4 linked regions of the Elephas maximus indicus genome follow. The protein of the gene in region 2 interacts with the protein of the main gene of each other region in a pairwise test. Links are inferred from orthologs where the notes say so. Each region holds a gene or a part of one and is shown on either strand. Other genes may lie near its edges. The genes, in order: ARFGAP3, SNCA, BCL2L1 and LAMP2.

Region 1 (6,975 bases), on a different chromosome or scaffold from region 2:
ACCAACCAACCCCCTCATTGCTCATGGGGAAACTGAGGCCAAGTGAGGGGAAGAAGAGGCTTGCCCACTGTCACAGGGCAACTGGTTGGGGGGCTGAGGGAGGCCTGGCCCGTGAGCAGCCCCTCCTGGCAGGGAATCGGCTGGCTCCCTCTTCCTGTTTATCTGCCCCTGGCCTGCAGTGGGCTGACTCATGCATTTACCAAGCGTTTATTAAGCACCTACTGTGTGCGAAACTATGGTGCCAGGACAAACATGAAGAACTGGGCTTAGAGCAGGAGTCCTGTCGCGGGGTGGGAGCCCAGAGCCCGATGGAGGGAAGGGCAGGAGAGCTGATGAGGGGGGTATGCTGGGTTCTGGAGGTCGCAGCCCACAAGTCTCAGGAAATGAGGACAAACAAGGGACTCCCAACTCCCCAAGGCCCTAAGGGGCGGGGTAACCCTGGGCTCCTTTAGCTGTTACCCTTCCCTTCAGTGAAGGGGCATGTCTTAGTTATCTAGGCTGCTATATAACACAAATGCGATAAGTGGATGGTTTTCACAAAGAGAAATTTATTCTCTCACAGTCTAGGAGGCTAGAAGTCCAAATTCAGCTCTGGGTAAGGTCCTTGTCATCAGTCTTCCCCTGGTTGGGGAGTTTCTCAGCACAGGGACCCCAGGTACAAAGAGTGTACTATTCTCCTGGCTTTTGTTTCTTGGTGGTATGAGATCCCCCTGTCTCTCTGCTCACTTCTGTCTTTTTATATCTCAAAAGAGATTGATTTAAAACACAACCTAATCTTATAGATTGAGTCTGGCCTCATTAACATAACACCTCTAAGCAGGCCTCATTAACATCATAAAGGTAGGATTTACAACACAGGAAAATCACATCAGATCACAAAATGGTGGACAATCACAACACTGGAAATCATGGCCAAGTTGACACATTTTTAGGGGACACGATTCAACCCATAACAGGTTGCCTGACTCCCACCTGGGCAGGAAGTCAGGCTGGGGCAGATGAGGAGGGAGGACCTCCAGCTGGGGGTGACCCGACCTGCACAGAAACGATGGGCCTAAGAGATAGTTCACTGTGTCCTCATCAGCCCTAACTAAAGTCCACTGGTGGTGTCCTCCAGGGGCAAGGGGCAAGTGTCAAGATCTTTTGCCTGTCTGCACTTTGTGATGCAGCGTATGACTGTCTAGACATGTCTAGCTTTTCCTTAGGGTGGCATTTGGCTTTCAGCAAGCTCCCGTTCCGCTGTAATTGCACTAAATAAGCAAAATGCCCTTTCGGTTGGCCACAGCCTTACCAGGCTGCCTTCATAAAAGATAAATACCCAGGGCAATTACACAGAGGCTGTGGGGACATGGCTATATGTCTGGGCCCTTCTTTCAAAACCGTCTTCTATCTTAAAACCAAACAATAGTTCAGCTTAACTAGTATAAAAAGATCTGCCTTGAGCATTATGCTCTTTGAGACCTAGGTCTATGGGATCAAATTGACGACAGCAACTTGAAAGATTCGATGGGAACTTCAGGGCGCAGTGAATTTACATTAATGAGGGAGGAACAACTCAGAAAAGGAGGGTGAGACTGGTTGCACAACTCCAGGAATGTAATCCATGTCACTGAATTGCACATGTAGAAATGGTTGAATTGGGGTATGTTCTACTGTTGTGTTCTCAACAATAACAAAGTAAATGAAATGATAACAATAAAGCCCTCCTTCGTTCTACTATCCCTCAGACTCATAAGGACCCTATAGGACAGCAGAACTGCCCCATAGGGTTTCCAAGGCTGTAAATCTTTACCAAAGCAGACTGCCACACCTTTCTCCCGAGGAGCGACTGGTGGGTTCCATTAGTAGCCAAGCACTTAAGTACTGAGCCACCAGGGCCCCTCCTTGGCGGGGGGGGGGGGGGGGATAAATAACAAGGATAATTACCCAGAGGCCATGTAGGCCTGTCTGTTTGCCTGGATTCTGCTTTCAGAGCCCTCCTTTGCACTGTCCCTCAGAGCTCAAGCCTCATCCTCGTCCTCAGTTTCATTCTTCCAGGCTATCCTTTTAGTTTTTTTTTTTTTTTTCCCTCATTCTCTATAATCCTTACTATCTTTTGGTACCTTTAAAAGAGGCTCCTTCTCCTGCTCATTCAGGCTAGAAATGAGGTGTTAGGACACTGCTTTCCAGAGAAGGCCTGATACCTTCCCCATCTTGGTGGAGAAACCCTTAGCAACATCTATCATCTGTCCAGACTTGACTCAATATAAGGAAGAACTTTCTAACAGAGTTGTTTGCTAAAGTTGATTGTTGTTCTGGAAGGTAATAAATTTTCCTTCTTTGGAAAAGTTCCAAACCTGGATTTTTATGGCTTTCCATTCCCTACAAGCTTCCAACTTCTCCTCACGGTATCTAACTAGACATCTTGAGTTGAGTAAACACTCTCAGCTTCTAAAAGTGGAAAGACCACTGCTAAAGGCTTTTCCAGGGCTTCACTGGGAAGCTGCCCTCCTGTGCTGCCCAGCACTGATTCTTCATCTGTAAACCCATCGTATAGACGAGCGTTTTAAAGTTCAGAAAAGTGAAGTGTTTTGACCAAGTTTACAGCATTATAAAGTGGCTGCAGTGAGACTGCAGCCAAGGTATTATATTTGACTTCCAAACCTGTTACCCTTCCACCGCACCATCCAACCTCAGGCAACACCTTTCTAGCAGCTCCACACCCACTGTTATAAAAGAGGTACCTCCTCCATGGGTTTAAACCCTTGTAGCTAGCTAGGGCAGTGGTGGTTCAGTGATGGAATTCTCGCCTTCCATCCGGGAGACCCCGGTTCAATTCCTGGCCAGTGCACATCAAGTGCAGCCACCTCTCATCTATCGGTGGAGGCTTGCATGATGCTATGAGGCTCAACAGATTTCAGCAGTGCTCCCAGACAAAGACAGACTAGGAAAAAAGGCCTGGCCATCTGTTTCTGAAAATCAGTCAATGGAACCCTATGGATAACAATGGTCCAGCCCAGTTGTGCCTGCATGGGGTCACCATGAGCTGGGGGGAGTCCACTACAGCTAACAACAATTAGAAATAGTAGCCAAAGGGGAAGAAGTAGGCCAGGAGGCACTGGGGTTCAAAGTCAAGCATCTTTTCCTGTCTACACTCTTCAGTTTGAGTACTTTTTGCTTCAGGGAGGACTGGTCTCTTGACTACATTCTACCCATTAAGTAAACTTTAAGAAAACCAGTTTTCCAGGGTAGAAAGCTTCCCCATCTAGGGCTCGGCCTCAGACGTTGTTGTTAGGTGCTATTAAGTAGACTGTGACTCCCAGTGACCCCATGTGGCAGAGCAGAACTTCCGCATTGGGTCTCCTAAACTGTAATCTTTATAAGAGCAGATTGCCAGGTCTTTCTCCTGCGGAGCAGCTGGCGAGTTCGAACCGCTGACCTTTCAGTTAGCAGCCTAACGTTTAACCTTTACACCACCAGGGCTCCTTCAGCCTTAGCTGAGGGGAGGAAAAAAACAAGGCGACTAGGGAAAAGCCAGCGGTCCGGGTGGGCTTCAGGCTCCAGTCCTCTGTCTGGCGCCAGGGACCGAAGGCGGGGAGGCCCTTTGCCTCAGTTTCCTCCTTTGGCATTTGAAGTGCCTGGCTCTGCTGTCCTCGCGGGAAGGATGCGAGAAGACCTTGGCCGTGGAGGTATTCCATCAGTCGAATGAGGACCAACCAGCCCAAACAGAGCCAGTCGCACCTCCCCACCCGGGCTCGGTGCCCAGCAACCCCCGGGGGAAGCTGCCCGCGATAGTGCTGGCAAAGGCGGGAGAAGGAGAGCCACCCTCACACGCACGCGGGCAGCGCCGGGGGCGGGGCTTAGGAGGGGCGGGGCCAGGGTCCGGCAAGGCCGGGGCCCGCAGGGACGGAGAGCGGCGCGTGCGCCTCGTTTGTGGGCGGAGCCGGGGCGGGCCTTTCCGGGGCGGAGCCGGGGCGGGCCCTTCCGGGGCGGGGCCTGGCCGTAACGCTCAGCCCCGCCCCCCGGCCGTCGTCCTTCTCCGGGAGGCGGCAACCGCTCCTCCTCAGCCCATCCGAGTTGGCGGAGCCAGCAGCACCCCGGCTCTCCGGTGACGATGGGGGACCCCAGCAAGCAGGACATCCTGACCATCTTCAAGCGCCTCCGCTCGGTGCCCACTAATAAGGTAGGGCCGCCGGGCGTGCTGGGGCCTGCCGGGCATCCCTGCCGGACCTCGCGTGCGGCCCTGCGGGGAGGAGGAGCCGCCTGGCTGTGACACGTCGCACTGTGGGGCCGCGGCGGCCTGGGCCTCGCCTGTCGGGACCAAGGAGGGCCCGGGAGGGGGCTCACGCCCAGGGCTCCGGGCGGGGCGGGCACTGGGGCTCCTGGGGGCCCCTGGGGTGGGGGGCAGGCCCCTGGGGGCTCCTGTCACCGGGTGGGGGGCAGGCCCCTGGGGGCTCCTGTCACCAGGCCGGGAGCATATGCTGAGGGGGCGCCCGGTAGGTCGACACGTGTGAGCTCTTGAGAGGGCAGGGGGTGAGCACCTGGGGGGCAAGCACTGGGGGGCTCCTGATATTAGGGTGGATATTGGGACCCCCCCAGAGAAGGCTGAGGGAGGACATCACGAGGCACCTGTGATCCAGCCGAGGTTAGACGCTGGGACCGCCTGTGACCCCAAGCCTCAGAAACCCCAGCTGGCAGCTCAGGGTGCTGGGGAAAGCTCGACTAGCCCCCTCCGCATCCTGTGGGAGCCCGGGTGAGTCCCTCTGTCCCCTAGTGGTAGCCTTGGTCAGTTTTCCTATCCGACGAAGCTGCTGAGTGGTCTCTTCGATGGTTTCCAGCTTTTTTCTCCTTTGCTAAGAAAGTTGATCACAAACCCTTTACTTTTCTCAGTTTGGGTCTCTTTGGAGATTGGGGTTTTCTTTTTTCTTCAGAGGCTGTTTCCTCTCCCTCCGCCCCCCCCGCCCCCGCTAAAACTTTGACAACTTTTTGCAACTGGTTGGAGGTGTGATGACGCATCTGGAGAACGTGACCCGACACACTCAGCGGAGGATCACAGGTCAGAGTGCAAAGGGCTGCCCTGTCAGCGTGGATGCTCCCCACCCCTCCAGTGGCAGAAGCTCTGTCCCTCTGTCCACAGGGCCTGCAAGGGCCCTGGCCTTTACCAGACCCCTACTCCCACCTCTCAAGTGAACAGCTGTTACCAAGCTTGGTCCTGAGCCTGGAAATGATGGCATAGAAAATCCCAGAGTTTTACAAAATTCAGGTGGTTTTAAGTCTTCATGGTGGTGGTTGTTGTTGGATGTCATCAAGTTGATTCCCACTCATAGCGACCCCATGTGTTACAGAGTAGAACTGCCCCTGAGGATTTTTTAGCATGTGATCTTTGTGGAAACAGATTGCCAGGTCTTTCTCCCTCAGAGCTGCTGGGTGGATTCGAACCGCCAACCTTTTCATTAGCCAAGTGTTTACCCATTGCCCACCAGGGCTACTTGATGATGGAGGAGCACCCGTATTTTTACAGCCTCAGAGGAGGGAGGTAGGAAACAGTTTATTGGGGGTGATGTCTGCCGGATATAGGAAAGCCAGGAGGAGAAAGCCCCAGTGCCACACTTCTGTGGTATTTTCTTGATTTTCAAATTTGGATTGATCTGTTTATAAACAGTGGTTACTGTATAACTAGGCAAGATTAGGATCTGCACTGAACAGTGTAGAGACTAGAATTTTTTCTGTCGCCTTTATCACAGAAACAGATCAACACGTGTTCTCTTTTGCTGAATTCATCAGAGGAAGGGCGGCCCCTTCAGAATATAAAGTCAGTGTCTTTATCCTAAGAGATACTTCTGGAGGGACATCTGTGGGCTTGCTTGTAGATTATTACTCAAACTCTGCCACTTTCTAGCTCTGTTACCCTTGGGCAAGTTACTTGGCCACTTTGTATAATATTTCCCTGATGTGAAAACGAGGGCAGGAGCTCATTGCGACTCAAAGGGTTATTGTGAGAATTAAATGAGATAATCTAAGAAATGCACTCAGAGCTGTACCTGCATATATTAAAAAAAAAAAAAAAAGTCACCGTTGAGTTGATTCAGACACATCATGAGCCCATGTGTCACAGAGTAGAACTGCTCCGTAGGGTTTTCTTGGCTGTAATCTCTCCAGAGTCGGGTCAGTTCTGTTTCATAGTCACCCGATAGGACAGAGTAGGACTACCCCATAGGGTTTCCAAAGTGGTAATTTCTATGGAAGCAGACTGCCACGTCTTTCTCCTGCGGAGAGGCTGGTGGGCTTGAACAACCAATCTTTTGGTTACTAGCCAGGTGCCTGACAACTGCACCTGGTGGCACAGTGGCTAAGAGTTCGGCTGCTAACCGAAAATGTTGGCAGTTAGAATCTACCAGCTGCTCCTTGGAAACCCTACGGGGGCAATTCTACTGTGCTCAGTAGGGTTGCTATGAGTTGGAATTGACTCGATAGCAACAGGTTTTTAAAATCTTTACAGAAGCAGGTTGCCAGACCTTTTTTCCACGGTATTGCTGAGTGAGTTCGAACTGCCAACCTTGGTTAGCAGACAAGTGCAAACTGCTTGTGCCATCTGGGGACCTACCTGCGTGTATTGTTGTTGTTAGGTGCTGTTGAGTCAGAAAAGACCCGGCTTCTGCCTTCAGGGAGCTGATACACTAGAGAACGATGGACACAGAAGGGCTGCATGGCGGTTTGCAAGAGGCAGAGTGTTGTTGTTAGGTGCTGTTGAGTCAGTTCCGATTCATAGTGACCCCATGTACAACAGAGCAAAACACTGTCTGGTTCTGTGCCATCCTCGCTATTATTATGCTTGAACCCATTGTTGCAGCCACTATGTCGATCCATCTTTTTGAGGGACTTCGTCTTTTTTGCCAACCCTCCACTTTACCAAGCATGATGTCCGTCTCCAGGGACTGGTCCTTGTTAATATGTCCAAAGTATGTGAGACAAAGCCCTACCACCTGTGCTTCTAAG
Region 2 (7,980 bases):
CCAAATATCACAGTAGTTTGCATGGCAGCCTATACCAATTAAAGAGCCTTCTTTTGTTCTAGACTCTATTCGAAACTATCAGCTTCTCAGGTCACTCAGTAAATGGACTGGAGTAGCACACCCAAGCAAGGAATATGTTACTTCCGTAATCCCACTAGGCATTGTGCCCCTTTGTGCTGGTTGTAGGAGGGGCCATATGCAACAGCATATCCTTCACTTACAAATGATGCCTCAACATGCCCCATACTACTGCATCCTTAGACATTTTACTGAGATACCATTGAACTCCTAGAAATTTTACTGAGATACCGTTGAACTAGAAATTTTACTGAGATGCCATAATGAGATACCACTATACAACTACTAGAACGTGTAAAAATGAAAAATATTTACAACTTCAGATATTGGAGAGGATATAGCAACCAGAACTCTTACTCATTGCTGTATGAACGTAAAATGGTACAACCACACTGGTAAACAATTTGACAGTTTCTTAAACAAACACCTACCATAGCAATTATACTCCTCGAGATTTATTGAAGAGAACTTTATAGATATGTATACACACATACACATACAAAAAGAATATTGAATATACCATCGACTACCAGAAGAATCAACGAATCTGTCTTGGAAGAACTACAGCCAGAATAGAATGTTCCTTAAAAGTGAGAATGGAGAGACTTTATCTCATGTACTTTGGACATGTTATCAGGAGGGACCAGACCCTGGAGAAGGACATCATGTTTGGTAAAGTAGAGGAAGACCTTCAATGAGATGAGTTGACATGGTGGGTGCAACAATGGCATCAAACATAGCAATGACTGTGAGGATGTCACAGGACCAGGCTCTATTCCACTCTGTTTTACATACAGTCACTATGAATTGGACCCAACTTGATGGCACCTAGCAACAACAAGAGTAAAAAGACTTGCAGAAGAATGTTCAGAGCAACTTTATTCGTAACAGCCCTGTCTTAATTATCTAGTGCTGCCATAACAGAAATACCACAAGTGGATGGCTTTAACAAAGGGAAATTTATTTTCTCACAGTCTAGTAGATTACAAGTCCAAATTCAGGGGGTCGGCCCCAGGGGAAGGCTTTCTCTCTCTGTCAGCTCTGGAGGAAGAGTCCTTGTCCTCAAACTTCCCCTGGCCAAGGAGCTTCTCAGGCGCAGGGACCTTGGATCCAAAGGATGCGCTCTGCTCCTGGTGCTGCTCTCTTGGTGGTACGAGGTCTCCAACTGTCTGCTTGCTTCCCTTTCCTTTTATCTCTTGAGAGATAAAACGTGGTGCAGGCCACACCCTAGGGAAACTCCCTTTACCTTGGATCAGGGAGGTGACCTGAGTAAGAGTGGTGTTACAATCCCACCCTAATCTTCTCAACATAAAATTACAATCACAAAATGGAGGACAACCACACAGTACTGGAAATCATGGCCTCACCAAGTTGATATATATTTTTGGGGGAGATGCAATTCAATCCATGACAAGCCCCACTGAGGTTTCCATTAACTTCATTCAAATAATTTGATCTTTTTCTGGTTCCTATGAGTCGCTATGAGTCGGAATCGACTCGATGGCATTGGGTTTTTTTTTTTTTTCTGGTTCCTGACAGATAACCTCTAGAATCTTGGGATTTCTCCAGTTATTGAAGTATCTTTCTTATCGAAGAGAACTCCAGACCCGACAAGTTATGCTAAAGAGGTGACTCAGGTGGTACCTAGACAGGCTAGAAAGACCACCACGTGATAGCAGCCAACTTTACGGAGGTAGGGCATGAATCAATCAATCATGCATACTAACTGAGGTCCCAAAATTGATGCTGGACTTGGCAGCTCCAGTGACTGCCTAATTGGTGAAAGATGTCAATACACTTGGGAGAATAGTGAGTCCCTTTTTGGGACATGGAAGCTCCGAGTTGAGAACCCTCCCAGACCTCACCCTATGCATCTCTTTATTTGTATCTTTTTCTTGTAATACAACTGTAATACAAGTATAACGCTTTCCATGAGTTCTATGAGTTGTTCTAGCAAATTATGGAATCTGAGTTAGGAGAAACTAAGTCAGAAGCGAAGGGACTTGGGAATCCTGAGCTTATGGCTGGTATTCTGAAGGGGTAAAGGGAACCCCTGAATTTGTACATAGCAGGTCAGAAAAGATGGGGGGGCCACTGGGGACTCCCAAGCTTGCAGCTGGCATCTAAAATCTTGGGCAGACTTGGAAGTCTGGAGAACAGTGCCCTATAACTTGTGAGGTCTGACCTAAATCCAGGTGGTTAGGGTCCGAGGAGGAAATGCTGCATGTGTAGCTGGTATCAGAACAAAAGTGGAATGGAGGGGAACAGAACTGATAAAAAAATTGACCTGAGATTAATTTGATTTTTCTAAACAGCCTCAAGCTGGAAAAAACCAGAAAGTACATGAACATGGAAGAATGGATAAAAATGGTGGTGTATTCAGGCAAAAGTCCTTTGCAGAGCATGAAGTACCATATAAAGGTGTGGAATCATGTTATTTTATGAAAAGCAAAAAAACAACCACTACCCCAAAATAAATCTCCCATTGGTCTGCTGTGGGACCTAAAATAGCTGTCATTTTAGTTACCCCTTTGATTTAAGGCACCGAGTCTCAAGAACGTCCCTGTTAACTTATAAAGAAATCCTATGAAATAATACATTAAATAATTATCATAATATTTAAGGGAGCCAGCTCCAGCTGTGATAGGTCACAGTGGAAAGCATTTATTATTGGCAACAATAAAAAGAAGCAATGGAAAGCAATAAGAAACACTACTGACGCGTGCAACAACTGAGTAGGAACAAACCTCACAAATACGCTGAGTGAGAGAAGTCAGACAGGTACAAGGAAAGCTCATACTCTATGATTTTGTGTAATGAAATCCAAGCATAGGCACAAATAAGAAAGGGCACAAGGGAACATTCTGGAGTGATGGCAATGCTCTGTGTCTTCAGAATGTTGTGGGTTATACTAATACATGAATTTTTCAGAGCTGATTTAAAGAGACACTTTTCACTGTATTTAAATTATACTTAAATTTTAAAAATCACCTAAATGCTATTGTGCTTGTTTTAAAGTAGTTCTTACACCTTATGGATGTATGTGGAAGTATTTACAGATGAAAAGATGCTTGTAGTATCTGGGATTTACTTACAAATAGAGGGAGCTTTGTGACAACATGTGTAGGCGTATAAATGTGGAAGTTGTGTGGTATTCACATGAGGGTCCTTTAGTCTACTCTACTTTTGTATATGTTTGAACATTTTCCGTAATAATAAATTGAAAAGAACAGAATCTTTTGGGTTCATTTTCTCATTTACCAAAGAGTCATCGGGGAACAGAAGCAGAAAATAATTGTTTAAGGTTTAACCAGTTCCCAGGTTCAACCTTCTTTCTCTGATCCCAAGGAAACAAATTATGAGCTACTGTTTTTGGAAAGCCTGCTTTAAAAAAAAGATAAAACAATAGTGCAAGGAGGTATTTAAGCAATAAATATTTATGACCTCAGTTTCACTCTCTACTTTTTTCTACTGAATATATATATGTAGACACATAAAAAAATTTTTTTTAAATGTATATGTATGTATGTATACCCATTGGGACCGTGTAGGAAAGAGGAGAACTGCCCCTTAGGGTTTCCAAGGAGCGGCTGGTGGATTTGCACTGTCCACCTATATATATATATCCTCGAAAACATCTTTAATAAATAAAACAAATAAACAAACAAAAAGCCATACAGCAAAGACTTGTTTTTTCCTTCAAGCTGTGAAATCATTCTCCTAATCCAGGCAAAAGAAAGCAAAGGCCTTCTGCTAGAGGGAGGAGCTTGATTCTCTATTCTGGTCCGATCCAGGAACATCTGTTTCCTCCCAAGCTCTGAAAGAGGTGAAAATGTGTTAAGCGATGCAAAAAAAAAAAAAAAAAAAGACGTTTTGAAACTCGAGCACGTGCGTTCGTGTGTGTGTGTGTCTGACTGTCTGTCGGTCCGTCTGTCTGTCCAGAGGGGGCTAGGGGAGGTTCAGTGTCAACTTCGAGGGCAGAGTGAATCTGAAGTTAGAAAGATGAGTTGAGTGCTTCTGAGTCTCGGTCTTACAAGCAGCCGAAGGGAAATTGGAATCATCGTTCAGGGGGAAAAACCAGACTGGATTTGTCTCCTTCATCCAGGTGCTTGGTGGTCTGGAAAGTAAATTCCATTTAGAGAGCGAAAAACCTTAGACTGACTGCTTGTTTTCGACGGCTGGGGAATATTTATTCCACAGATGGGGAAAAAAACCGGCGTCTGGCATCCTCTGATTGGTGGAAAAGAAAATGGTGACAGTGGGGTGGGAAGAGGATTTGTCGAGCTTCCTCCTGCCTCATCAACCTGTAACTCTTCCTTACTAGTCTCCTCTCCACCTGCAGGACATTTTCGGACTCATCCGAGGTTAGGATGGAGGATATTTGAACAAAATCGACCTCTGACTTTGTATTCTGCGACCGTTTACCAAATTTAAGCGATCGGAGAGAAATGTGCTCTTGTCGGTACGTATATGAGCACCATCCTAATCTATCTGAGTCCTTCAGCAGCTCCTCGAGAGATTGCTTCTGGCTCCCAGGGGTTGGCGCTGACTAGGGGTCCTCACGAAGAACCAGAGCGAAAGGAGGAGACAAGGAAAGAGAGGCTGTGGGAAAGCAGGAGAGACATCAGCCAAAGCCTAACCGCTCACGCTCGCCACAGGACTCCCCCGTGACCCTGAACTTGAGGTGACACGCCGAACATTCCACCTTCCTGCCTCCAGGACCAGGCGGGAGACTGGAGTTGGAAAGACACCCCCTTCCGTCCCTCCACCCTCCATCCAGGAAAACGAGCGAAGCGCACGAGGCAAGGAAAGCAGAGGGCGCCTGGAGTGGGGCGGGGAGAGGCGCTGACAAATCAGCTGAGGGGGCGGTGAGCGCAGAAGAAGGAGGAAGAAGAGCAGGAGGAGCAAGACCACGACGACCTGAAGGGGGCCGGAGAGAGGGGGCGAGCGACCGTGAAAGGCGAGGCGGGACAGTGAGGTGTGTGCTGTCTTTAGAGCGGACCTCGGGACCCAGCCCCGCCTTAGCATCCTTCTCCAGCTCTCGCCGCCTTCCCTTCCGACCTTGTCTTTCTCTTGGATCCTCTTGTGCGGGGGACGGGGAGTGGTAATTTGACGACAGGTTCGCGGGTTCGCCTCCCACGTCCCCAGCCTCTCGTCGCCAGGTTGTGCTGACAGCAGCCTCCTTTGGGGGACCCTCCCTCTCCTGGAGCTGCTCCGCCCTTCCTGGGCACTTCTCTCCTCCCAGTTCTCATTTCAATAACATTTGCTTAAATTTAAAAAGAGGGGGAGGAAACAGAGTTTCGGAGGAGCAGAGGGGCTCAGGTAAGTACCTGTGGAGCTAAAGGGGCAAGGAGCTTTGGAAATCTTGGAGAAAATCTGGTGGGAGATGAGGACGCCTGGGGGTGGAGGGCGGGGGGGTTGCTGCTGCGGTCAGGACAGGCTGTGCCAAGTCTCTTGGCGGTGGTTATTTGTGCTTTTGGTGAGCTGGAGGAAAGTAAGTGGATTTGGCTTTCCACCTGATTCCCATATTCTCCTTACCCACCCCAAAGGCTGAGAGATCAGGCTGATTCTCCGGATACGCTTTTCCTTTGGGAAAGGCGAGAATGCTCAATGGACGGATGAATTTCCAACTTTTATTACTCCCTTACCTAAATCCTCCACTCCACCCTCTCTGTTTTCCCTGTAATGTAAGCAAGCTGCATTTTGCAAAAAAAAATTAAACGGAAGTGCCAGAAGAACAAGTCGACATGTGTTAAAGGGTTAACAGGTGCAGGCCCAGCCTTCACCACTGGACACGGGGTCCCCTGGCCGGTTAGGGCGGAGAACTGCCCCTCGGGTGGCGCTAATCTGGAGACCACCAGCCGGTGTGAACAGCGCCTGCACTGGATAGATAGCAGAGAGTGGGGTGGATGGTCCAGTGGATTAGGAGGGCTGGAAGCCTGCTTCTGTCCAGAGGTACAGCCACACCCGGTGTGGGGGGTGGGTAGTTCTCTTCCCGCCTCTTTCCACCAAGATCAAGCTTTCAGTCCTATTCTGGGATTCATTTCTAGGATGCCTCTGAATGCACACCTACAACTCCTTTTCTTTTCTTTTCTTGTGGTTTTCTTCTAAACATGCATCTAACTTAAACTGTCACGAGTTGGATCCTAGGAAGTTGGAAGAGGGGTCCATCCTTTCATGCTACTCCACTTGCAAAATGCAGTAGAAACAGTCCTGATGATCCATCCTAATCCATGTTAGGCAGCCAGACTTTTACTGGCAAGGTGGATGAGGGACGCTAAATTTTTAAAGCAAAATCTAAAGAAGTGTTGTTTTGTTCAGCCATCGGAATGAGGATACACTTAAAAGTTTGTGTCTCACACTTTTGGGATTTCTACTGATTTCTCAGTGGTTTTTACCTTGGGTGCTTTTAATTTTGTTTTGTTTTACCAAAAAGTTCTCATTCAAAGTGTATTTTGTGTTCTCCAGGGTGGTGTAAAGGAATTCATTAGCCATGGATGTATTCATGAAAGGACTTTCAAAGGCCAAGGAAGGAGTAGTGGCTGCTGCTGAAAAGACCAAACAGGGTGTGGCAGAAGCAGCAGGAAAGACAAAAGAGGGTGTTCTCTACGTAGGTAGGTAAACCCCGACTGTCATTTTAATATTTATCCATGACTGATGGGTTAGGATGGTTGATGCTCTAAATGCTGTTTTTTTGCTTGATTCATCTTTGCATCATCACTTGCAAAGAGAATGCACTGAGTCACAGGTATGTGTGGGTAGGGGAATGTGTGCATTTCGGCTAATAGTACAAAATGAAGATAACCTTTTGTTTTTCCTGATTATTCAATTTTATAATAATATTTAGGATTTTTTAGTTCCTTTTTTTTTTTTAAATAAGTGCCTCCCTGCATTAAAAAAAAACAAACCTGTCGCTGTTGATTCAGTACTGACTCATGGTGACCCATGTGTATAAGTGACTGTACTTCAGATGAAGTTTTTAAAATTCAGAGACTTATAAAAAATAATCAAGAATATTCTTAGGAATCAAAATCATTCATAGGTCTTTGATTTCTTTTATCATCATAATGTTTCCTAATTTTTTATGTATTCTGATTTTAAATAAGATTTAGATATTGGATCCCTGGTTGCAGAATGGTTAGGTGTTCGGCTATTAACCAAAAAAGTCGGCAGTTCAAATCTACCAGCAGCTCCTTGGAAACCCTATGCGGCAGTTCTACTCTGTCCTATAGGGTTCCTATGAGTCAGAATCGACTCAATGGCAATGGGTTTCGTTCAGTTTTGGTCTGTGATGTATAAAAAAAGACGTACTGTGGCCCTAAAATGGAAAGGACAGATTAGTCTTCGGTGGAGTTACGTATTGTAGCCATCTGGTAGGCTGAGAAAGTGGTTGAGAACTACTGCTAATATCTCTGCAACGTCTATATAATACATTTCTCAAACGGCACATACTAAATAATGAGATTGATGCTTACCACTTCTACTCGTTCCTAAATTCCCACCTTGGAATATATACAGAAGTCTTGATCTTTTTTCCTTATTTATATCTAGAACTGTGTTAGGTTGGGTGTTATTTTACAAACCACTTCAAATTCTTTGGGGAAGGCGCTGTGATATAACAGGAATAGATACACACACACACACTCCCACACTCAGCCACTCTGCTCATTCTTTTTGTTCTCTTTCTCCTTTTCTCCTTTTAACTCTTCCACATTATCTGGGAGCAGCTATAGTAGCAGTAACCATGGGGTGAGTAGTAAGGTGGAGGATAACTATACTGGATGGCATAGATGACACTGGTGCTATCCTGTGTCTGGAGGGAGAAAGAAAGCTACGCTGTTTATGCAGTGTAGATTAGCAGGAAAAAAATTATACTTGGAATGATTTTTATGAATGCCTTTC
Region 3 (7,173 bases), on a different chromosome or scaffold from region 2:
GTCAAGTGCTTAACCGTCTGGGAGGATTACAGAGACCTTAGCACGATGTATTCTATCTTTCCAAAATATAAATCTCTTCATGTCCTTTCCTTGTTTAAAAAAACCTGGCTGCTACTTAGTGACCTGTACATGTGGCCACACATTTACCTTCAATCTCCTCTACCACTGTTCCCCTCTCAAGCATCCCAGTTTATTCCTAGGACACATTGCGGGCTTTTGTGTCCAACTGTTGTGACTTCTGCCTGAAATGCTCTTAATGTCCTTTCTCTCTCAGACAAAATTCTACTCTCGTTTCAGGGATCGCTCAACAGAGCCTGCACCTCGGGGCACAGTTGATCCCACCCTCTGCTGGGCTCCCATAAAACCAAAACCAAACCCAGTGCCATCGAGTCAATTCCGACTCATAGCGACTCCCGTAGCACACTTAAAACCAGCTGCTGTCTAGTTGATTCCAACTCCTGGCGACCCTATGTGTCTCAGAGTAGAACTCTGCTCCATAAGGTTTTCAATGGCTGATTTTTTTCAGAAGTAGATCACCAGGCCTTTCTTGCAAGGCGCCTCTGGGAAGACTCAAACCACCAACTGGTCGCTTAGCAGCCAAGCTCATTAACTCTTGGCACCACCCAGAATGGTACTCGTAACATAGAAATTGTTGTGACGCCACGGATTTTAAAAATGTAAATGAGATCATGTCCTGCCCCAGCTTAAAAGCCTCCCATGGAACAGAATAGAAAGCTCAGAAATTGACCCAAATACACATTGGAATGTAATTTATGATAATGGAAACATTTCAAATGAATGGGAAAAGATGGGACCATACATGGTGTTGACAACTAACTGGGTAGTTATTTGGGGGAAAAATTCTGGATCCTTACTCACACTTTATGCCAAAGTGAATTTACAGTGGAAAAAAAATTTTAATGTAAAATATGAAGCCATGTAAAACTACAACATGTAGAATTCTTTCTATAAAATTGAACTGGAGAAGGCCTTTCTAAGTATAACACAGAACCCAGAAGCCCCAAAGAAAAAGATTGATAAAACATATAGAAGCTAAAAGTTTTTTCATGGTAATAAGTAATAAAACCAGAAAAATATTTGCAACTCATACATATGGGGGAAAAGGGATAAAAACCCCTATAAATCAATGAGGGAAAAGTTCAACAGCAAGACCCACTGAAAAGGGGGCAAATGATATGAACAGAGAATTTACCAACACAAGTCCAAAAAAATCGCTCGAAAATATGAAAAATTGCTCAACTTCACTTATAATAAAGGGACTGAAAAATAAAAGTACCTCTCAATTTTTACCTATCCAATTTGCAAGGATCAAAAGGTTTGGTATCACACTGTGTAGGCCAGGGTGTGAGGAAATAGGCAGTATGATACTTGACTGATGGAAGAGTAACCTGGTACAACTGCTGTATAGAACAGTTTGCCAATAGCCATTAAAAGCAAGAAAAAAATACATTTACTCATTTACCTGGTAATTCACTTCCAAGAATTTACCTTGCAGACAAACTCCCACATATGCAGAATAATGAATGGACCAGTGACAGCATTATTCGTAATAGCAAAAGATTGGAATCTACCTGTTGTTCTTAGCTGCTGTCGAGTCTTTTCCGACTCACAGCGACCCTACGTGCGACAGAACGAAACCCTGCACTATCCTCACGATCATTGCTATGTTTGAGCTCATTGTTGCAGCCACTGTGTCAGTCCATCTTGTTGAGGGTCTTCCTCTCTTTTGCTGATCCTCTACTAAGCATGATATCCTTCTCCAGGGTCTGGTTCCTCCTGGTAACATGTCCAAAGTAAGTCTCTCCATCCTCACTTCCAAGAAACATTCCGACTGTACTTCTTCCAAGACAGATTTGTTCATTCTTCTGGCAGTCCATGGTATAGTCAGTATTCTTTGCCAACACCAAAATTCAAAGGCATCAACTCTTTTTCGGGCTTCCTTGTTCATTGTCCAGCTTTTGCAAGCATATGAGGCGATTGAAAATACCATGGCTTGGGTCAGGTGCACTTTAGTCCTCAAAGTGATATCTTTGCTTTTTTGACACTTTAAAGAGGTCTTTTGCAGCAGATTTGCCCAATGCAATATGTCATTTGATTTCTTGACTGCTGCTTCCATGGGTGTTGATTGTGAATCCAAGTAAAATGAAATCCTTGACAACTTCAATCTTTTCTGTTTATCATGATGTTACTTATTTTTGTGTTTTGTGTTTATGTTGAGGAATAATCCAAACCCTGGTGGCCTAGTGGTTAGGTGCTACGGCTGCTAACCAAAAGGTCATTAGTTCGAATCCACTAGGTGCTCCTTGGAAACTCCATAGGTCAGTTCTACTGTCCTATAGGGTTGCTATGAGTCAGAATCAACTTGACAGTAATGGGCTTCTTTTTTTTTTTTCAGTTATAATCCATAGTGAAGACTGTAGTCTTTGATCTTCATCAGTAAGTGCTTCATGTCCTCCTGCCAAGCATGATGTCCTCCTCCAGGGACTAGTCCCTCCTGGTAACATGTCCAAAGTACGTGAGACCAAGTCTCACCATCCTCGTTTTTAAGGAGCGTTCTAGTTATACTTCTTCCAAGACAGATTTGTTCATTCTTCTGGCAGCCTGCGGAGTCTATCTAAATGTTCCTAAATAGGAGCTTGAGCAAATAAATTATAGCATGTCTTTATAAAGTTGTGCATTAATTTAAAAACTTGAGGCAGTTTCAAAATGTAGAGCTCAGTGAAAAAAAACAAGGTGTATAAGTGTGTGTAGCATGCTACTGTTTGTGTAAAACATTTATACATATAAATAAGCTCCTGAATATAGCAACCATCTTTGAAAGGCTACATGGGAAAAGGTGATAGCCTCTGTGAGGGGAACCAGGGACTTGAAAGCAGGGGTGAAAAGAGGACTTGCTTTTCATTCACGTGCTTTTGTACATTTTTAATACTCAGTGTTCCTATATACCTATTTTTAATCAATTAACATACCTTTCCATGCTTAGAATCAATTCCAACTCATTTCCGTGATTAACTTTAATCTCCTCTCACACTATACCCTTCTCTCACTACTCTCCAGCCATACTGCTTCACTTTCAGCTTCTGGCATGTGTGGAGATCTTCCTGCCTCGGGACATTTGCACATGCTATCCTTCTGCCTAGGTTGATGTTCTCCAGCCTCTTCGGATAGGCTGGCACTTTCTTATCCTCCTAGTCTTGGGTTCAACGTCTTCTCTTCAAAGAGGCAATCCCTAGCTACCCTACATAAATAATTGTGAATAAATGCCTCTCCCCTGACCACCCTGTCTAAAACAGCACCTCTTCTCTTCCTTGGCCCTCTTTATGACAATACCCCGAATTTATTTTCTTCCTAGTACCAATCACTATTTGAAATTATCTTGTTTGTGTATTTTCTTAGTTGCTTACTGTCTTTCTCCATCTCTATGGTTTAAAAAAAAAATGGTTTAAGCCTCCAGGAAAACGGGCTGTATCTGTCTTGTTCCTAACTCTATCTTCAGCAACCCAAACAGTATTTGTTGAATAAACTTACACAGCACATACTATGGTATACACACTGTTCTCCGGACTTTACAAATAATAATTCTCTTAATCCTCACAATAACCCTACGTAGAAAGTCGGTACTATTACCCAATTCACAGGTGAGGGAACTGAGGAACAGAGCAGCTGAGTAACTTGTCCAAGTGGCAAAGTCGGAACCCCAGAGATAAGTTTCTCAGCCACATCCATTGCCGGCTAGTCGTTTCCAATTCATAGCGACCCTATAGGACACAGTAGAACAGCCCCAGCCCCATACGGTTTCCAAGACTGTAAATCTTTAGGAAGCTGACTGTCACGTCTTTGTCCTGCGGAGCCGCAGAGCGGCTGGTGGGTTCCAACTGCCAATACTTCGGTTAACAGCAGATTGCTTAACCACTGCGCCATCAGGGCTTCTGTTTTCAGCCACAATGTGACGCTTTCTCGACATACAAATTAACAGGTTGATGAAAGAGACGGAATGAATAAATGAATGTGTGAATGTAAATGTTGATTTAAGGCTTCGAATTCCCCAGATGTTCCGTAAGAGGGCGCTCTCTCCCACGCCTTGACGCCAGTCATTTAAAGCGCGCACTCCCTTTGCGTCTCGGGCTCGCGCGCGCTGCCGCAGCACCGGAAGTGACTGAGCTTGCAAGTTCCCCCGGTCTCTTCAGGGGAAACTGAGGCCGGCTTGTTGGGAAGAGACGGCAAGAGCAGTCAGCCAGGTAGGCGGGCCCTGGTCCGCGGCACGGAAGTCAGTCGCGAAGAGCTCCCGTGTCTGGAAACTACCAGGCCCATGAAGGGGGATGTGGCCCCCCACGCCTCGCGGGTCTCGCAGGTGAGAGCACCGCCTCCCCTGCGCGTGACAGGCGCTGCGCCCAATGGGAGCCCTCGCCGTCCCGCGCCCGTGCCTATTGGGCTCGCTGATTGGCTACGGTAGGGCGGCCGCCAGGGGCGAGACCCCTCCTCCCAGAAAGGTCTAGGGGGAGCCCCTGAGGAAAGAAGGTTGCCTAGCAACAGGGCGGTGGCCTGGCGGGTACCCGGCCTAGCTTGTTGGAGAAGCCGCGAGGCCGCAGCCCACCCACTCCGGGCTTCGGAGGTGCAGCCCCCCCGGCCCCTCAGCCCTCCCGGGGGCGGCAGGAAACCGCCGTGGGCCTGTCCCCAGGAAAACGTGGTCTCGGCTGTGGGGGGCCTCGAACGGCCCTCGACCCCACTTTCCGACCCGAGAAGCCGGGCGCCTCACCGTCACCCGGTCTTTGTGCACGGCGCCGGCGGCCATTGTGTCCGGGCGGGGAATGGAGGACCGGGCAATCCCCTACTACCACCGCCACGTCCAGGGCCATTGGGGAATTCAAAGAAAACCAGCAGCGTTTGTGGGGGGCCCCCGGCCTTCAGCCTCCCGGAAAGGGCCGGGGATGGCCTTTCCGAAGCCACATCGCGCATCCGAGGCTGTTTCCTCCTTCCTCCTCCCCTCATCGAAACCTTGAGCCCATTGAGAAGTCCCTGCAGGGTTTCAGAAGCTTCACCCTGAGCTGGTCCTTTAAATAAATAAATAAATAAACGGCACAGCAGCCGCCTCCGGGGGAGTTCTCCTGGCTCCCGGTAGGAGGCGGAGAGCCAAGGGGCGTGCGAGAGCAAGGGGGCTGGGCTCCCGGTGGAAGGAGGCCGCCGCGGCGGAGCGGCCGCCCTCGGTCTGGGCGATGGAGGAGGAAGCGAGCGAGGGAGCCGGTTCCTGAGCGCCGCGGTTCCAGTGTCGCCTTCAGGGCTTCCAGCCTGCCGGCTCGCATGAGCCCTCCGGCTGGAGCTGGTTTTTTTTTTTTTTTTTCTGCCAGCCGCCGCGAGGCCGGCTGAGTTACCGGCATCTCGGCCGCCACCTCCCCTCGCGACCTATGATACAAAAGATCTTCCGGGGGCTGCACCTGCCTGCCGCTGCCTGAAACGGATTTGAATGTAGGTGGTGTGGGGGACTGCCCGTGAGGGTGACTTTCTGAGGAAGGCTTTTCAGAGAATAGGGGGTGGCTAGAGTGAAAGAGGTTGGTGGATGATTCAGAGCCCACTGGGGCTTTCCATTTGACTTTTCGAAGTCTCCTGGAAGCTAGACCCAGACCGTCATAAGAGCCACACAATCAGCTCTGGTACCCGGAGGGGGAATGTGATGTGGGGAGATGGCATACATATTAATTTTTTTTTTCCCCTGAAGCTTTTTCCCTTCAGAACCTTATCTTGGCTTTGGATCTCAGAGGAGAACCACTAACAGAGACAGACTCAGTGAGTGAGCAGGTGTTTTGGACAATGGACTGGTGGAGCCCATCCCTATTATAAAAATGTCTCAGAGCAACCGGGAGCTGGTGGTTGACTTTCTCTCCTACAAGCTTTCCCAGAAAGGATACAGTTGGAGTCAGTTTAGTGATGTGGAGGAGAATAGGACTGGGGCCTCGGAAGGCACTGAATCCGAGATGGAGATCCCCAGTGCCATCAATGGCAACCCATCCCGGCACCTGGCAGACAGCCCTGCGGTGAATGGAGCTACTGGCCACAGCAGCAGCTTGGATGCCCGGGAGGTGATCCCCATGGCAGCAGTGAAGCAAGCTCTGAGGGAGGCAGGCGATGAGTTCGAACTGCGGTACCGGCGGGCATTCAGTGACCTGACATCCCAGCTCCACATCACCCCAGGGACAGCATATCAGAGCTTTGAGCAGGTAGTGAACGAACTCTTCCGGGATGGGGTGAACTGGGGTCGCATTGTGGCCTTTTTCTCCTTCGGTGGGGCACTGTGCGTGGAAAGCGTAGACAAGGAGATGCAGGTATTGGTGAGTCGGATCGCAACTTGGATGGCTACTTACCTGAATGACCACCTAGAGCCTTGGATCCAGGAGAACGGCGGCTGGGTAAGGACCACGCCCCTTGTGTGTCCCATTTCTTTGGCCTCTGGTCAGAGAGATCCTCAATAGCCTTTCCCTTGTATCTCTTTCTCTTGTGCTGGGTGATGGTTGGAGATGTTGCTGGTTCAGGGATGTGACTGGCCTCATTTCACTACAAGGAGTTAACTGTTAGGAAATACAGATGACCTAGTTCTTGAAGGACCTGGCATCTTTCATTCTGGTCATCTTCATGACCCTACTTTTTCATACTTGTGCTTCAGTACCTCAGTGAAGGAAGACATAGCCTATGTGTTCATTCAGGTCAAAACCTATGCAAGTGGGAAGTTAGTCCAGTGTTTCCTCACCCTGACACAATGGTTCACCACCCAAACAGGTAATGAGTATAATGCGTGCAAAAGAGACTGAGCATCAGTGGTCCACAAACCCCTCCATCTTTTCTCCCCCAAGGGTGTCAACCATCCCCAAAACAAGTTCCCTTTATTTTGGAGTTTCCTTGTGTGGTACTTTCCTCTCAGGATAGGGCATGGCCAGGCAAAACTTTCCACCACCGTGTTGGATGGCTGAAGATTGTCTTATTTTAGGGCAGTGTAGGCTGTGCCAGCCTTTGTTTGCACCACACCCCTAAGTGTGCAACTTTCTGCGTGAGTGGTATGTTTGTGGAGCTCTTGCTGTGTCATGCATTAAGCCTGGGGACTTTGCACCTCACTGCCTGGGGTCGGTTGGAGAGCTCCAGCTGCTCTGCCTGTTGCTTTCCGGC
Region 4 (6,851 bases), on a different chromosome or scaffold from region 2:
AACAACAGACTTGAGAGAGGGATGTCAAGGAGTTCCTCAAACACCAACCCCAGACCAATGTGTAGATCTGCCTCTATTACAAAATGTTGCATAAGATTTAATCTTAGAAAATTAAGAGAGTGATAAAATTTGTTTTTTTAATTTTTTTTCTTGAAAATTTGCAAAACATGAGGTAAAACATGAAGGGACCTGGTAATGACTGCACATACATTTTATTCTAGTCTCCATCTTCTTAGCCTTTTTATTATTTTTCATGAAACATTTTTCAAAACATGGTACAATGCATTCTTCTTTACTGCAAAAGCAGTACTTACAGCCCAAATAAATAAAGCCAAGGGACTTTTTATATCAAGAAAATTACCACTGCAATGCTTTCTTCATTACTGCAAAAGAAGTATTAATAGGCCAAATAAATAAAACTAACAGAATTTGAATCTCAGGAAAATTACTACTACTGTGTATTCTCATTAATACAAAAGCAGTACTAACAGCTAAGAAGCAGAAACAGCTGCCCTGGAATACTGCAGAACTGCTCACAGTGGTGCATGCCACCTGCTACATGTGGAAGCAATGACTGGACCCTAAGACTGAATGCAGAGTAGGAATAATTTACAGGAGTTCCAATCTCTTAAAAAGTACCACTTCAACGCATTATTCCTTATTGGAAAGGCATTATTTACTGTTCAGAAGCTAGAAAAGATGGAAGCCAGTAACACCTGGAAACAATGAATGGCATGAAGGAGAAATGGCCACTATGGATGAAGACTGGCAACAGCTTATTGTCGCAATAAGTACATTCTCATGAGAACATAGCAAGTGGGAAACATAGTGAAGAGGAGGCTTATCTCACAGAAATAAAGGCAAACCTGTCAAAAGTTTAGAAAATTCACACAATTGAAAGGCATCACCCTAACACAATGCTCAATCTACACAAAAACGAGGCTTCCACTCGGGATTTTTGAGTTTCACGCATTTCAAAAGGCTCCCACCTTAAGGATAAAGGCGTTAAAATTGGGCTATCCCCTTTCCAAAGAACTCCAGAGACCTAAAAAGTAGGTGGGATAAAATTTGTCCTATGGGTCTTGAAAGGGTTTAAGAACAGGGATCCATTGTCTTACAGTTCTGAGGGCTAGAAGTCCAGGTATTGATTGTGTTGATTCCTCCTGAGGGTTCTGAGAGAGTGACTGTTCCATGCCTCTCTCTAGGTTCTAATGGTTGCTGGCAATCCTTAGCATTCCTTTGCTGTTTGCTGATGTATCTTCACATGGTGTCTTCTCCCTGTCTCCATGTCTGTTTTCCCCTTGTATTAAGACATCATTCAGAAGGGGATAGGACCCACCCTACTGTGGTATGACTTTATTAATTGATAACAAAAGGATAACCCTATTTATAAACAAGGACTAAGGTGCACCTGGCTCAAGCCACGGTATTTTCAATTGCCTCATATGCATGCAAAAGCTGGATAACAACAACAACAACAAAAAAAAAACACAAAAAAGAAGAATTAATGCATTTGAATTATGGTGTTGGTGAAGCATCTTAAATAAACCACGGACTTCCAGAAGAATGAACAAATCTGTGTTGGAAGAAGTAGAGTGAGAATGCTCCTTAGAAGCAAGGATGGCAAGACTTTGCCTCATGTACTTTGGACATGTCCCGGGAGAAGGACATCATGCTTGGTAAAGTAGAGGGTCAGGGAAAAAGAAGACCCTCAACAAGAAGGATGGACACAGTTGCTGCAACAGTGGGCTCAAACATAGTAACGATTGTGAGGATGCCACTGGACCTGGCAGTATTTCATTGTGTCCTACATAGGGTCGCTGTAAGTCAGATTCAACTCAATGGGACCTAACAACACAAACAAGGCCACATTCATAGGAACAGGGGTTAGAACTTCAACCTATCTTTTTTGGGGAAACAATTCGATCCGTAACAATTACCATCTCAAAATGTCACTTCTTATTAATGGTGAGGCATTAAAGGACCTTTTGCTAAAGGCAGTGCCTAAAGTTGTAGTGAATATTAGTCCTGTATTGGGCAAGTCATTTACTCATGACTCAGTTTCTTCTATGACAGAAGACATACATTGCCAAGTGTTCTCACTTTCAGGAATTAATTATATTAAAACAAACTATAGTGAGGGTAGATCAAAAACAAAAAAACATTGCCATCGAGGCGATTCGACTCATAGAAACCCTATAGGACAGAGTAGAACTGCCTCATAGGGTTTCCAAGGAGCATTCGATGGATTGGAACTGGTCAGAGGTTGAGCTCTTAACCACTGTGGCACCAGGGCTCCAAAAGGGTACATTAGTGATTCTTAATATTTGAGTGTGGGGGAGGTAGAGAGTTACAGGTCCCATCTGAGAACTCATGAAAGCTAGAAACCTCCCCCATAAAAATAAACGTACATAAATGTTGCATGCAACTTCTGGGAAGTCAAAGACCCTCCTCCCAAGTCCATTCACAGAGGCAATTAAAATCCCCAGGACAAGATGGTTTTGAAGCTGTATTTCAGTGTTTCTCAAAGTGTGGTCTATGGGTGATAGGAATGAGAACCACTTGGTGTGCTTGTTTAAAAAGAGATCCCTAGGACTACTACATACCTACTGTTTCAGGATCTCTGGGGGATGATGCCAAGGAACCTGTGTGTCTTTAAAAAGCCCCAGGTGATTCTTTTGGAAAATAACATTTGAGAATCAGTACTTTATTCCAGCTTGAGGTTTTCGGATGCTTTCATTTGTTGAAGACTTTAGGTTTCATCCGTTTACCTGTCAAGTATATCAAACAGTGAGTTCAGTATGGTCTCATTAAAAATTTACATGTGTATATACATGTATTTTGAGATATATATATATATGTGTGTATAAACCAAAAAACCAAACCGGTTGCCATTGAGTCGATTCTGACTGATAGCGACTTTATCGACCTTATAGGACAGAGTAGAACTGCCCCGTACGGTTTCTAAGAAGCGCCTGGTGGATTTGAACTGCCAACCTTTATGGTTAGCAGCCGTAGCTCTTAACCACTAGGCCACCAGGGTTTCTATACATATGTATGTATATATATTTCTCAGGATGTTAACAGTGTTTCTCTCCAGGTAGTGGGATTATGGAAGATCTTAATTTTTTCCCCTTTATCCTTCTATTTTCTTTTTCTTTATTTTTTTTTTCCTGTATTTAAAAAAGGCTCTTCCTCTTTTTGGGTTCAGTTCTCCCAACTGAAACACAAGGATGTTGCAAGTAGATGAATTTAAAGGTCATGTCCTGCTTTGGTGGTCAGGGACTCATTACTACCCTCTAGCTTACTTGTCCATTAATAGCATGATCTGCATAGGTACTAAGTGCGTGCTCAATACAACCAAAAACCCACTGCCGTCCAGTCGATTCCAACTCATATGTATTACGTTGAGATGCCTGGCCACCGTTTTTATCCCAGCAAAATCATTCTCTTCTTTCTCAAGGAGCCATAACTGAAATAATCTCTACTATCTACACCCCGCCCCCTCCTGCAAAAAAAAAAGTTTATCCTCTCGCTATGGTTTTAAAAAAGGCCGTCCGCGCACATCTCTTATGAACTTAAGAATGGTTGTGAACCAAAAAGCCAGGGCTTCATCGCCCCGCCCCCCGGCCCTACCCCACCGCCCCTTCTCGACGCTTTCTAGAGCGGGGATTGGCTGAAGGCAAGAAAGAGCCCTGCCCTGAGTCTTATGACTCGCGCTTAAGCGCTGATTCCTGGCTCTGGCAGCGTCGTGGTCAGTGGTCACCGGAGCTGTTACCCAAGTCCCAACGAGCAGCTTCCTTGGTGTTGCTGCTCTTGTCGCCGCCGCCGCCGCCGCCGCCTCTTGGTTTGCGGTATCATGATGTACCGAGGCCTCCGCCTCTCCCCGGTTCCGGGCTTGGGGCTGGTTCTGCTTTGCGTCGTCCTGGGTGAGTTGTCAGGCCCGCCGGCTTAGGCTCCCAGCCTAGGCCCGGCGGGGCGTCACTTCAAAGGCTACAAACTTGAAAGACTGGTCGGCGGGGCGGGGTTGGAGGGGCTGACGAGCTGACACTGAGCGGCGGCGGCAGGCCCGGGGAGGCGAACAGTAACCTAGAGTAGGCCTGACCGAGGGGTGGTGGGGAAGATGGGCCCAGGAGAGTAGGATGGGGCAATAAGGGGGGGCTGGTGGACGCCGAGGGAGTGGGTAGAGAAGAGTGAGGAGGGGAGGAGGTCGGGGTAGAAAGAATAACTTGGAAGGATACTGAGGAGTGCGCGTAGGAGGGCGGTTCCTGCAGATTAAGGGGTGGTAGAGACAATTTGGAGAGGAAAATCCTGGTTTCCCAGGAGCAGGGGCGAGTTTGGGAGATGGTAGCGAAACTATGGAGTGGGTGAGAAAATTGCAGAGGGAAGAGACTGAGCCTGCATGGAGAAGTTTGGGGGAAAAGCTTAGGTAGGGGACAGATCTGAGGATTCAGTCTCAGGAGTAGGGAGGGGAGTGGAATGGTATTTGTAGGTAGGAATTTGAGGCCATGAAGGAAGGAGCTGAGGAATGATGCTGGGTTTAAGTTTGGTAATCAGAGCGTTTTTTTTTTTTGTAGTATCACATTTTTTAAATTTTTTAAATTTGCCTTTGAACAGCTAATTCATAACATTGTACAAAATTATCAGGAGGTGAAAATTTAGTAGGAAAAATATAAAAGTTATAAAAAGATATACAGGAAAATTAAGTCTCCCTTCCCTGTCGGTCCTCCAGCAACCCAGAGGCAACCATTGTTACTAGCTGCTTGTTATTACTTCAGAGATATTTTATGCATATGTATAACCAAAAACCCAAATGAAACCCATTGCCGTGGAGTTGAGCTCTTAACCACTTCACCACCAGGGCTCCTGCATAGGTAGAATAGTTTTTTTTAAAAAAAGAAATAATAGCAAACTATGTGCACAATTCTGCACTTCGCTTTTTTAGTTAAAAATCTATATTCTAGAAACTGTTCCCCAGCATTATATGAAACTTTTCTCATTTGTTTTTTCTTGTTGTCGTTATTTTTTTCTAAATTTTATTTTGTTGTTGTTATTGAGAATATACTTACTAAACATATACCAATTCAACAGTTTCTGCATGTATAATTTAGTGACATTGATTGCATTCTTCAAGTTGTGCAACCATTCTCACCCTCCTTTTCTGAGTTGTTCTTCCTTCATTAAGGTGAACTCACCGCCCCCAAGGTTCCTGTCTAATCTTTTGAGTTGCTGTTGTCACTTTGATCCTGTATAGATAGTTCTTAAAAGAGCATATTGCTCAAGGCAGGCCTTTTTTTTTTTTTTTACTAGTTAAGCTAAACTGTTGTTTGGTTTTAAGACTTCAGGGGGTATTTTGGGTTTAAGCTTTAAAGATTATCTCAGGGCAATAGTTTCAGGGGCTCATCCAACTTCCATTGCTCCAGAAAGTCTGGAGTCCATGAGAATTTGGAATTCTGTTCTGTATTTTCCCCCCTTTTGATCGGGATCCTGCTATAGAATCTTTGATCAAAATATTCAGTAATGGTATCCGGGCATCATCCAGTTCTTCTGATCTCCTGGCAAAGGAGGCAGTGGTTCATGTAGGCAATTAGCCACATATCCCATATCCTTTTCCTATTCTTGACTCTCCTACTTCCTCTATTGCTCCAGGTGAATGGAGACCAATTGTTGTGCCTTGGATGGCACTTGCAAGCTTTTAAGACCCCAGGCACTACACAACGAACTAGGAGGTAGAACAGAAGCACTAATCATGTTATTAGGCCAGTTAGCTGGGATGTTTCATGAAACCATGACCCTAAACCTCTAATCCAAGGAACCAAATCCCATGAGGTGTTTGGTTACATATAGGTAGAGTTTTGAGGATGAAGGAACCTAAGGTGGTTGGGGCAATTTTGAGGCAAGAAACTTGGACCCAACTTCGGGAGACTAAAGGAGGAAGTGGGGAGTGAATTTCTGATTTGGATGTATTGAGGATGTTGTTTTTCTACCATTTTTGCTCCTTCCTCCCAGCCAGACCCTGACAAAGAAATCCCCCAGATGCTTCACTTGGGGAGAATCTCCCAAATGTGAGGTTTTGCGGGTGGTATATTTGCATCTTGTATACTACCTCCTTGCCTTCCGAGCCTCTTTTTTTCTTCTCCCTGAACCCATAAGTAGCCTATTACTTTGGTTTGTTTGTTTTTTGGGAGGGAGGATAGGTAGCTTCCTAAGGACTGAGTTGTTACCAGGTCCTAAGAATGACTGGGTGAATGTTGGCTGATTGTGCTGTGCCTCTAAGTGGTGCCCTAATAGCTCTAAGGCCTGAAAAGTGAACTTTGACCAGAATATCTCTTCCCGACTGGATCATCCCATGCTTGTTGCTACCCACTGGCTCTTGCTATCTGTGAAATAATAAAAGAACAGAAGGAACAGACTGAGATGGGAGTGGGGAAGAAACAGGCATATTAGGGGTCTGAGAAGGCAGTGAGAGGAATACAATTTGTAATTCACATTTCTATAGGATCAAATCAACACCCTACAACAGTGCTTCTCAACCAGGGGATAGTTGGCAATATCTCAAAGCGTTTTGAGTGGTCATAACTGGGGTGGGGATGGCTTCTGGCATCTAGTAGGTAGAGGCTAGGAATGCTGCTAGACATCCTACATGCACAGACCAGCCCGCCCCCCCCACACAAAGAATTATCCCACTCAAAATGGCGGTAATGCTGAGGTTGAGAAACCCTGCCCTAGAACCATAGCATTGGAAGGGTTCTTGATTATCTAATCCCATGATTCTCAAAGATCTTTTTATGGGGTCTGTGAGAGCAAAACTATTCTCAGAACAAAACTAAGAGGTTATTTTTTTCACTCTC

The links.
Region 1: the proteins of SNCA (region 2) and ARFGAP3 interact in binary tests that used the Homo sapiens proteins (3 or more experiments, as listed by UniProt). The link is inferred for Elephas maximus indicus from reciprocal best matches to the Homo sapiens genes SNCA and ARFGAP3.
Region 3: the proteins of SNCA (region 2) and BCL2L1 interact in binary tests that used the Homo sapiens proteins (3 or more experiments, as listed by UniProt). The link is inferred for Elephas maximus indicus from reciprocal best matches to the Homo sapiens genes SNCA and BCL2L1.
Region 4: the proteins of SNCA (region 2) and LAMP2 interact in binary tests that used the Homo sapiens proteins (3 or more experiments, as listed by UniProt). The link is inferred for Elephas maximus indicus from reciprocal best matches to the Homo sapiens genes SNCA and LAMP2.

What each region holds. Positions count from the first base shown.
Region 1 is NC_064822.1:187,129,727-187,136,701, reverse strand, and holds the start of ARFGAP3 (ADP-ribosylation factor GTPase-activating protein 3), read left to right. Parts: upstream 1-3,967; 5' UTR 3,968-4,093; coding exon 4,094-4,162; intron 4,163-6,975.
Region 2 is NC_064823.1:65,339,796-65,347,775, forward strand, and holds the start of SNCA (alpha-synuclein), read left to right. Parts: upstream 1-4,969; 5' UTR 4,970-5,056; intron 5,057-5,083; exon of another isoform or gene 5,084-5,400; intron 5,401-6,546; 5' UTR 6,547-6,571; coding exon 6,572-6,692; intron 6,693-7,980. UniProt on the Homo sapiens protein: Neuronal protein that plays several roles in synaptic activity such as regulation of synaptic vesicle trafficking and subsequent neurotransmitter release.
Region 3 is NC_064843.1:37,711,886-37,719,058, forward strand, and holds the start of BCL2L1 (bcl-2-like protein 1), read left to right. Parts: upstream 1-4,164; 5' UTR 4,165-4,372; intron 4,373-4,438; exon of another isoform or gene 4,439-5,484; intron 5,485-5,734; 5' UTR 5,735-5,858; coding exon 5,859-6,422; intron 6,423-7,173. UniProt on the Homo sapiens protein: Potent inhibitor of cell death. Inhibits activation of caspases. Appears to regulate cell death by blocking the voltage-dependent anion channel (VDAC) by binding to it and preventing the release of the caspase activator, CYC1, from the mitochondrial membrane.
Region 4 is NC_064846.1:36,116,129-36,122,979, forward strand, and holds the start of LAMP2 (lysosome-associated membrane glycoprotein 2), read left to right. Parts: upstream 1-3,831; 5' UTR 3,832-3,859; coding exon 3,860-3,929; intron 3,930-6,851. UniProt on the Homo sapiens protein: Lysosomal membrane glycoprotein which plays an important role in lysosome biogenesis, lysosomal pH regulation and autophagy.